2 linked regions of the Neurospora crassa OR74A genome follow. Each later gene encodes a partner of the first gene's protein in a complex. Links are inferred from orthologs where the notes say so. Each region holds a gene or a part of one and is shown on either strand. Other genes may lie near its edges.

Region 1 (4,550 bases):
CTGGCGAACATTGCCTATGTGAGTATCCCCTCAAGTGTCTCACAAGAACTTCCATGACTGACAACACACAGTTCGCCGCCATGACCAAAGACGAACTCTCCAAATCCGGCGTCGTCCCCACCGCCATCTTCTTCACCCGCGTCTGGGGTCCCTCGGCCTTCACCGAGCGCGTCATGCCTCTCTTCCTCGCCCTCTCCGCGCTCGGCAACGTCTTTGCGCAATCCTTCGCCATGCCCCGTGTGAAGCAGGAGCTCGCAAAGGAAGGCACTCTCCCCTTCTCGCGCTTCTGGGCGAGCGACTGGCCCGAGCAAAAGTCGCCGACGGGCGCCATTTTGCTGCATTGGATCTTCACCGTGGCCTTGATCCTCGGATCCAGCACCAAGGACGTGTACCAGTTTCTGTCCAACATTTTTACCTACTCGGGCAACTGGATCAAGGTCTTCCTGGGGGTGGGGCTGCTGTATCTCAACTTTACGCCGAGCGAGAACTGGACGACGCCGGAGAACAAGCGGTTCCATAGTTATCCCGTCCTGACGGTGTTTTGGGTTGTCGGGCTGCTGTATACCTGTGCGGCGCCGTTTATCCCGAACACGCTGCTGACCAAGGTTCACTTTTCGGTGGTGCCGGCGCTGGGGACGGGCATGCTGGTTATCGGCGTCATGTATTGGGTGGTTTGGGCCAAGGTGTTGCCGGCGTTTGGGTTCTCTATACAGCACGAGGTGGTGGTGTTGCCGGATGGGAGTGAGAGGGTCAAGTATAAGAGGGTGAGGCCGAGGGGAGGTAGGAGTGGTGCGAGAGGGAGGAGGAATGGGGGGAGGGGAGGGGGGAGAGGAGGAGGAGGAGGAGGAGGGACGACTGTTGTGTGGAGGTGATAGGACGTGTGCACTTGTCGATGTAGAGAAGATACAACGTAGAATAGTAGATCAATGATTCGCGTCTTCGTTTCAGGAACAAGATAAAAGGGGATTTGTTTACTTTGGATGGAGTCTGTGTCCTTTTACCCCTTTTTTTTCATCTTTTTTTCCCTTGGAGCAGAGCCCCTTTTTCGGATGGCGCAAGCGCCCTGGGATCGATCTACTTTGGCCGGTGGAACTAGCACTAAGTGTCTGATCAACATGCCGGTGGGTTAGATCTTCGTGTTCACTTCCATGAATCCCCAATACGAGATGGACCATTGATATGATTTGGGGTGTCATGTTGATGGGAATCCCAACCGCCAAGACGAAACAAGAGCGGATGGGAACACTGTTTCAGCGGTCGTTGGCAGACGCCAAGTGCCTGTAGCAGGGCAAAGGAAAGGCGCTGTGGACGGACACACTGCAGCCGAGGCGGACAAGTCGGCCAGGTGGGGAACGGGACGCGGGGCTCCATCGGGCTTAGCGGATAGGTCCCGTTCAATGTGCCGTGCGAGCGGGTGTTGTTGTATCGAACAATTATTCCTTTCAGTGGACTGCGGCCCCCCCCCCCCCCCCCTGACAGCAGTGACGGCCAACCTCCACCTTCGGAACACCACTTGACACCACCCGGGCACCCTGGCGAGCGAGAGGAAGTGGTTTTGGTGTCCTTCTTGGGAATACTACCTCTACCACCACCACCACCACCACCACATTTCAGTCTCACTTGTCAACACCATAACGAGTAACGACCTAAGCGCGCCCGGCCCCGTCAGCCATGCTCCAGCAGCCCTACGCCGTCGACTCCGTTCATGTTCAAGTCCGATGAAGGCATTGCTTGCGCATGCATGCCTTGCTGCCCTCTGTATCCGTCCATTCTCCAGCCAGCCAGCCAGCCAGCTCCAGTTCCAAGTTAGCTTCCGTCTAGACTGAGTGTACCTACCTAGCTGCTCGATTCTCCCACCTACGCCTACGCCTCGCTTCACCACTTCAGCCTCGCCAGCCCGACATTGACTCTTTCCTCCCATAATCCCCGAGTCGATCTGCGGTCGACCCTCGTTGCGCCATAACCAATGTCTTGGGACTTGTTAAAGCGGTTCCTCGAGAGCGACGTCTTCAACCAAAACCCCTTTCTCTCCGTCTCCTACCTCTCGTCAGTCAGCCATTCCGTTTTGCCAAGATTCGCTACCCCTCCTCCTCCTCCTCCTCCCCCTCCTCCTCCTCCTCCTCTTTCTCTCCTCCTCACTCGGCGCGGCGCGTATCAGTACTGGCCTGGCAAGACACACACTAACATGACCGCACCGCCAGACGATATGCCGACCACATAGGAATTCACTATGTGCTGTGCAGCAAGCTGCGCCAGTTCCCCTACGAGGACATCGAGTTCTTCCTCCCTCAGCTCTGTCACCTTATCATCAGCATCGACAATGAGTCCATGGCCCTGGAGGAGTTTCTCCTCGACCTGTGCGAGGAGTCGGTCACAGCAGCCTTGTTGGTGCGCAGCCCTCTATACACCATCTGACGCTTTGCACGACTCCGAATTGCTGATATCTCGCCCGCTCGCAGACATTCTGGCTCTTCCAAACATACCTACACGACCTATCCGCTAATCCACAGGCCAATGCCTTCAAAATATGCCAGAGAGTGTACAACAAGGTGCAGCATATCGTCTTTGGCGTCTCCGACAGTGCAAGGAACGAGAAGATTACGGAAAACGCTTTGCCAGTGACTGTCCTAGGGAGCTTCGTTCTCGCCAGTATCGCCGCCCCGTTTCTCCCCCATTGGGCTGGCCCGCTTGCCGTCGCGCAAGCCAGAAAGCCCCGCCCTCAAGTCATCGAACCTGTGTTGGACGCTACTCCCGTCAACGCCGCCCCACCTGCTCGCGCGCATACCGTCACTGCTGGTACAACAAAATCGAGACGGGCAAAGGAGGCCCGCCTTACAAGCTCATCGGACCATCAGCTCCAGAGCAACAACAGCAGCCCGGTGGCGCATCGCCCCAAGCCCAAGATCAAGGAACCTCAGCCTGACTCCCGGCCGACGTCTTCGGGGTCTTCTATCAAAACGCCGGTAGAGACCAAGCGACCTACTCCTTTCGATTCCAACGTCTTGGAGGCGCGCCTTAGTTCATCTTCACTGCCTCTACCAACGTCGAATGCCAATTCTCCAGGTCTTGTACACAGGCCGACCACTCCGGCCCTGCGGCCAACGACTGGAGTGAACAGGAGGCACTCGCACCATGTCAAGACGCTCTTGAACCAAGCGGACATGAGCCGCACACAAAAGATGCGGCTACTAAAACAAAACTACTTCCACTGCCAAACAGCATTCCTGACCGCACTAGAGGATATTTCAAACCGACTAGTAATAGTACCAAAGGCTGCACGCCTAAGTGCCCTACGCGCTGAGCTGGCTCTAATCGCTCAAGAACTCCCGGCCGAGGTCGATATCCCAGTCATCTGCCCTCCTACTTTGGTCAACGGCTCTCCTTCGCAGAGCCGACATCACAGGATAGTCCGTCTCAACCCGGCTGAGGCCACGGTACTGAACAGTGCTGAGAAAGTGCCTTTCCTGCTTATGGTTGAGATTTTGAGAGAAGATCTCACATTTGACCCGGATTCTCAAGATAATCAGAGACTTCTGACACAGCTTTTGGTCGAACAAGGAACCAGGAGGCGGATTTTTGACCTTTCCGAGTCTTCTAGGATACCAGCCACACCCCGTTCACAGGAGCCCGTCATCGATAGTGTTTTTGAGCCTTCCTCGGGGGATCTAGGGCACTCGCCACTAATAAAACCGTTCAACGACGAGCCCTTTGCCATACAGCATAACCCCGTTCCTGGCGGTCTCCGCCATGCTGCCACTACTGGGACCAGCTCGACACAATTTGTTGATCTGACGTCAACGCCTCGCAGTTCTGGCACTTCGGGATCCTCTACCCCACCTTTCAGGAGGATGACCCTCCAAAGTCCGCGCAACAACGCGGCCGCCGACCAACCTGATTTCTCTGCCCTTGCCATCCATATGCGGACAGCCTCGCAAATGTTGGCGCAGTTGGATGCAACAAGTGGCAAGCGGCCGCGTCATGAAGTGGCCGCAATCAGGGCAAAGATTATTGCCAGCATGCAGAGTCTGGAGGAGGAGAGTTTTGAAGTCCATGATAGCCAAGGGCCGACCTTCGACATGATTATGGCCAAGGCCAGTGCAGAAAACGTTATCAACGGCAATGTCGCCACGGACGAAGAAATCGAGGCTCCCCTGGAGAAGGTCGAGTCTAACGTGAATCCAAACGCCGGTCTAGCAAGGATGGAAAACGATATCAAGACAGGCGGTCTCCAGCGCAAGGGCGATCGTGATGATCCCAGCGCTGCCGTCTTCGGAGAAGCTTGGGAGATGAAGAAGGAGCGTATCCGCAAGTCCTCTCCTTACGGCTGGATGAAGAACTGGGATCTCGTCAGCGTCATTGTCAAAACGGGTGCGGATCTCCGTCAGGAGGCATTCGCCTGCCAGCTGATCCGCGTGTGCCACAAGATCTGGGTAGAGCACAACGTGCCCGTCTGGGTGAAGCTCATGCGCATTCTTGTTACGGGCGAGTCGTGCGGTCTGATAGAGACCATTGCCAACGGCGTGTCGCTGCACTCCATCAAGCGCAGCTTG
Region 2 (4,310 bases), on another chromosome or scaffold:
CCGATCAGGTGGAGGGGTTTGGAAGAGAGAATGTCAATGACCTTTAATCATGTTCGACAATAGACTTCCTTACATCTTTGGTGTTATTAAAGTTGGTAGGTATTCAAGTGGTCGACCGTTTATGACGAAGTGGGGCGAACGACTTCTCATTTTGGGCTTTGGGCCTCCTCGAAGCGAAGGATGATTGGGTGTCGCAGACAGAGCCTCAAGAATGGTACCAAGGAGAATTGTTGGTACCAGGCCCGTCGGTTACATATGGTGCTTAAATATAATGGACAGAACATTAACGCGGTCGAATTTGCGCAATTCGGTGTCAAGAGGTTTGCTGTTTGACATCGAGCGCAAACTACTTGTATATCATTTACTTCCACTGTCACCCCAAAAAGTGAGATGAGCCGGCCGCCGGGCATGGGTAGTAAGTACTCCTCCGGGCTCCGGCTCGAAAGTTTAGTCCTGGAGGAAGTACATGTTGTTCGGATGGCGGCGCTAGAATCACTCTGAAGTATATCTTGCCAGAAAGTGTCTTTTCCGAAGTCGCCTCCCCAATCCTATCTCTTCATCGTACGGATCTGGGCTGCCGATTGATGTTGGTTTGGTTGAATGGTGGCCTCCGTTTACCTCCCAGCGCTCCCATCCTCCGGCGCGGGCTCTCGAGACCTGCCCTTCTTGTCACTTGGGCTCCCTGCCCGACAAATCAGAGAGCAGCAGTTTTTCCAGCCAACCTGGCATGATAGCTGGCGCATGCGCTGCCTACCTACACCCAAACGTCCAGAACCCGATCGAATTTGTTCCTTGGCCGTGCAGCCCCTGTCCCAGTTATTAGAAATCCCGCCCGTTGCCCCTCTTTGCAAATGGATGCGAATATCAACCGAGTTCCTTGGGAGAGGGGAGTGAGGGCCCCACGTAAAGTCTGAAACACACATGCTGGAGAACAAGCTGAATGTTCGGAAAAAAGTCCGCATCGATGGAAATGATGCTGCGTCGGCAGTAGTGTACCACAGCAGCATGAGCAGGTACAAGGCAGCTTTCTCAAGCAAAAGACGATGACTCGAGTCAGAAACAGCCTGGCCTCTCCATGCCAGGCCCGGCGTCAAATCGATGGATGGGAGGGAGTCGAACCTGGAAGTGAGGCGCCGCACGAAACGAGCGGGCGGATCAGGTTCCCGTCAGGTTCGAGCGGTCGGGTGTTCCTTACCTCCTGGCTAACATATGGTCCCCTGCTAGTCACCCTAGTTCCACATTTTAATAACGGCCAGGGCACTTACAGTGGTTAGCTGCAGTTAGTGCAGCAGCTCCAGGGCACTGCATCAAAGGTCGCCCATCTCGCCAGACTGCCGCCGTCATCACCTCCGATCTCCCGCGCATTTTGCCCTGCCTCTCGCCTTGCACCCTGACACTCCTGTGCTGCCAATACCTCTCTAGACCTGCTCATCCATCGATCCCATTTCTTTTTCTTTTTGCCATTACAACCCAACACCTCGACATCTTTTCCTATCTACTTCTCTTCACTCTTCGGTGCAACCCCAAGGCCACTCACTGATTGCCGCTTACCGAGTCTGCTACTTGAACTATCCTATCGGCCGACGACAATATAAATCCACCATACAAGGCTGCTTGCTCCCATCGCTCGAGCACCGTCTTGCCCTTCACACAGCGTCTCGTTACCTACGACCAAGTCAATTACAAACGTTAACGGTATCCCTGAGAGAAAACCCACGGATCGTCACCGAACCCCTCCTCCGACCTTTCGGCGCCAACCCCGTACGCGACGCCATTCCGAGTGACCCCTTTCCCTCGAACCGCCGCATCGTGGGACCACCTTGCGAACGACATCAGCATTTGCTAAATAGTACCGAGTTATCCGAAAATGGGCAAATCGTGAGTGACCAAGTCCCCCGAAATCTCCGCGACTCTTGCCCGATCAGCACCCACCACCCGACCGCTTTCTCCGCATCCCATCATCATCATCATCATCATCATCAATACGCACCGCACACCTGTTTCTCAGCAGTGGAGGAGGGACCGTGATCCGTTTTGCTGAAGTCTCCTCTACCGTCGACCTACCCCGTCCTTCACTCAATTCTACATATCATACAATGGGCCTCTTTAGCAGGAGTCGTTTCTCTGCGCAATCTCCCAAAACTGAAAGCAAGATGAAGAGGCTGACACTGAACCCCGCCCGACACAGGCAGAGCAAGCTCGAGCGTGATAAGCTGGAGGAGTTGGAAAAGGCCACCCACTTTGACAAGAAGGAGTTGCAGCAATGGTATAAGGGTGTGTTACCTATCCCCGTCCCCTTTCTCCTATCGCCGACGACCCCTTTGAACACCGCCGCCGTCGCCGCCAACGATTACATGCCCTGACCGATGCGGCGCTGTCTCCCCATCGAAAGCGCTTGCTATGCGCCCTCGTTGCCAACCAAATCTTTCGCTTCATAGACGGCCTCTAACAAGTTCATTCACAAACAGGCTTCCTCAAGGATTGCCCCTCCGGCATGCTCACCAAGGCCGAGTTCCAGAAGATCTACGCACAGTTCTTCCCCTTTGGCGACCCATCGTCATTCGCCGACTACGTATTTAACGTATTCGACACGGACAAGTCTGGCACCATCGACTTCAAGGAGTTTATCTGCGCCTTGAGCGTCACGAGCCGCGGCAAGATGGAGGACAAGCTCGACTGGGCCTTCCAATTGTACGACATTGACGGCGATGGCAAGATCACCTACGACGAGATGCTCAAGATCGTTGAGGCTATCTACAAGATGGTGGGTTTACCCTTTCTTTCTTATCTCTCTACGCCCTTTCCCGTGTCGTCGCAATCTTGTACGTTAACATTCTGATCCCTCAAAACAGGTCGGCTCAATGGTCAAGCTCCCCGAAGACGAAGATACTCCCGAGAAGCGCGTCAGCAAGATCTTCCGCATGATGGACAAGGACGAAAACGGCAGCCTCGACATGAAGGAATTCAAGGAGGGCAGCCAGCGCGACGAGACAATCGTATCCGCCCTCTCCTTGTACGATGGCCTCGTCTAACCAAGTTTCTTTTCATCAATTATCATTCGAGGTATTTCGTTTAGCCAAAGGGGGGGACGGCGCGCAACGGTCTGGCGAAGCAAATTTTACCAAGAGGAGGAGCATGATTTGATGTGTGTTGCAGCGCCAACAGGCAAAGTTTCATCTCCCCGAAACAAGGCAGAGCTGGAGTTATAAAGGGTGGAAAAGAAAGAGAGAAATCAGTTGTTCATTTGGAAGCAAGATATCCCAGGGAAAGCGTGATGGACAAGGGGAATGGTTGCGAGAAAGAAGGGAAGAGAGAGGGTTCAGCCATCTCGGCTCGGCCCAGCTCGATAAGTGTGCGCGCATACATCGATCAGACAAGATAAGAAGAAAGCACAGCTGGCCACATGCTGTTGGGGCGTCTCATCTATGGTTCCGTGGTCGGAAATGAGCCTCGCCGCTAGGTACCACCCATTCGGCCCAGTTCTTAGTCTAGATGTCGACCGGGATGTGATGGTCTTTGGGGCTGTGCTGTTCTTGGCTTAGGTCTTGAAAGAGGAGATTTCAGACCTGGTGATCACACGGATTGGATGGAAGGGAGAGGGGAAGGACATGAGAGCACATAAAGGGAAGTCGGAGTGAGAGGGGATAGAGACGGAATAAGGAGGAAGAAGAAGAGAAGGAAATCGTGATGAACGGCGTTACCTGGCTGGTATGGAACGAACGAATACACTACTACGGCTTGGTCAATTGCAACAATGGACGACCTTGACTCAGAAGTTACCTCTTACGCGTCGTGTGTGTGGATACTTTTAGGCTTGGTTTTTTTTTTTTCTTTTGAGGGTTTAGCAATTTTTTTTCAATGTTTCATCCGTTTCGAGCCCTTCATGATGTGATAACCGGGCTGTTGACTGTAATCTTTCTCTAATTCCCGCGTACTCTCCCCTACCGCCAGGTTTGTCATGAACGGAGGTTATCTTTTATTACTATTAGTTGTAAGTCAACACCGCCAACACTCCAACAAGTGACATCATCGTCATCTTGCTCGCCAAGATCAACCCGTTCTGGGATATAATATCAATGACAGTAAATTTTTTTAAATTTTTTTTTTTTCGTATTTTGTTATTTTCTTTTTCTATATTCAAGCCCCCCCCGTTTTCGTTCAAATGCGTGATGCAATGATTTCTCTGCTTACCCCATTCATGGTCGTCTATGTCTTCATTTGACCTACCTATCTCTTAGTCTTTCCTGATGCAGTTCTTCATCTCTCTCAACATCTCACTCCGTCACCTTCAAACCTTATACGGGTGTCAC

The links.
Region 2: the proteins of NCU10397 (region 1) and cse-1 are in contact, whole or in part, in an NMR structure (PDB 2JU0), measured with the Saccharomyces cerevisiae proteins. The link is inferred for Neurospora crassa OR74A from reciprocal best matches to the Saccharomyces cerevisiae genes PIK1 and FRQ1. Residues at the interface, in NP_014132.1 of Saccharomyces cerevisiae: Ser122, Tyr123, Gly124, Phe125, Val127, Ala128, Val131, Asn134, Leu135, Gln136, Asn138, Asn141, Thr142, Ser143, Lys151, Glu154, Asn155, Val156, Ala157, Pro158, Ala159, Leu160, Val161, Ser163, Ser164, Met165, Met167, Ser168, Ile170; in NP_010661.3 of Saccharomyces cerevisiae: Trp30, Gly33, Phe34, Arg36, Asp37, Ile51, Tyr52, Phe55, Phe56, Phe64, Phe72, Phe85, Leu89, Thr92, Ser93, Arg94, Lys100, Leu107, Tyr108, Met132, Ser134, Met135, Glu142, Arg148, Lys151, Leu155, Asp176.

The regions. Positions count from the first base shown.
Region 1 is NC_026503.1:1,284,490-1,289,039, forward strand, and holds the start of NCU10397 (phosphatidylinositol 4-kinase PIK1a), read left to right. Parts: upstream 1-1,535; 5' UTR 1,536-1,966; coding exon 1,967-2,046; intron 2,047-2,201; coding exon 2,202-2,388; intron 2,389-2,459; coding exon 2,460-4,550. Other genes in the region: NCU10675 (methionine permease), read left to right, coding at 1-18, 72-872. UniProt on the Saccharomyces cerevisiae protein: Acts on phosphatidylinositol (PI) in the first committed step in the production of the second messenger inositol 1,4,5,-trisphosphate. PIK1 is part of a nuclear phosphoinositide cycle and could control cytokinesis through the actin cytoskeleton.
Region 2 is NC_026504.1:3,562,188-3,566,497, reverse strand, and holds cse-1 (neuronal calcium sensor 1), read left to right. Parts: upstream 1-1,377; 5' UTR 1,378-1,867; coding exon 1,868-1,878; intron 1,879-2,188; coding exon 2,189-2,274; intron 2,275-2,468; coding exon 2,469-2,764; intron 2,765-2,852; coding exon 2,853-3,032; 3' UTR 3,033-3,970; downstream 3,971-4,310.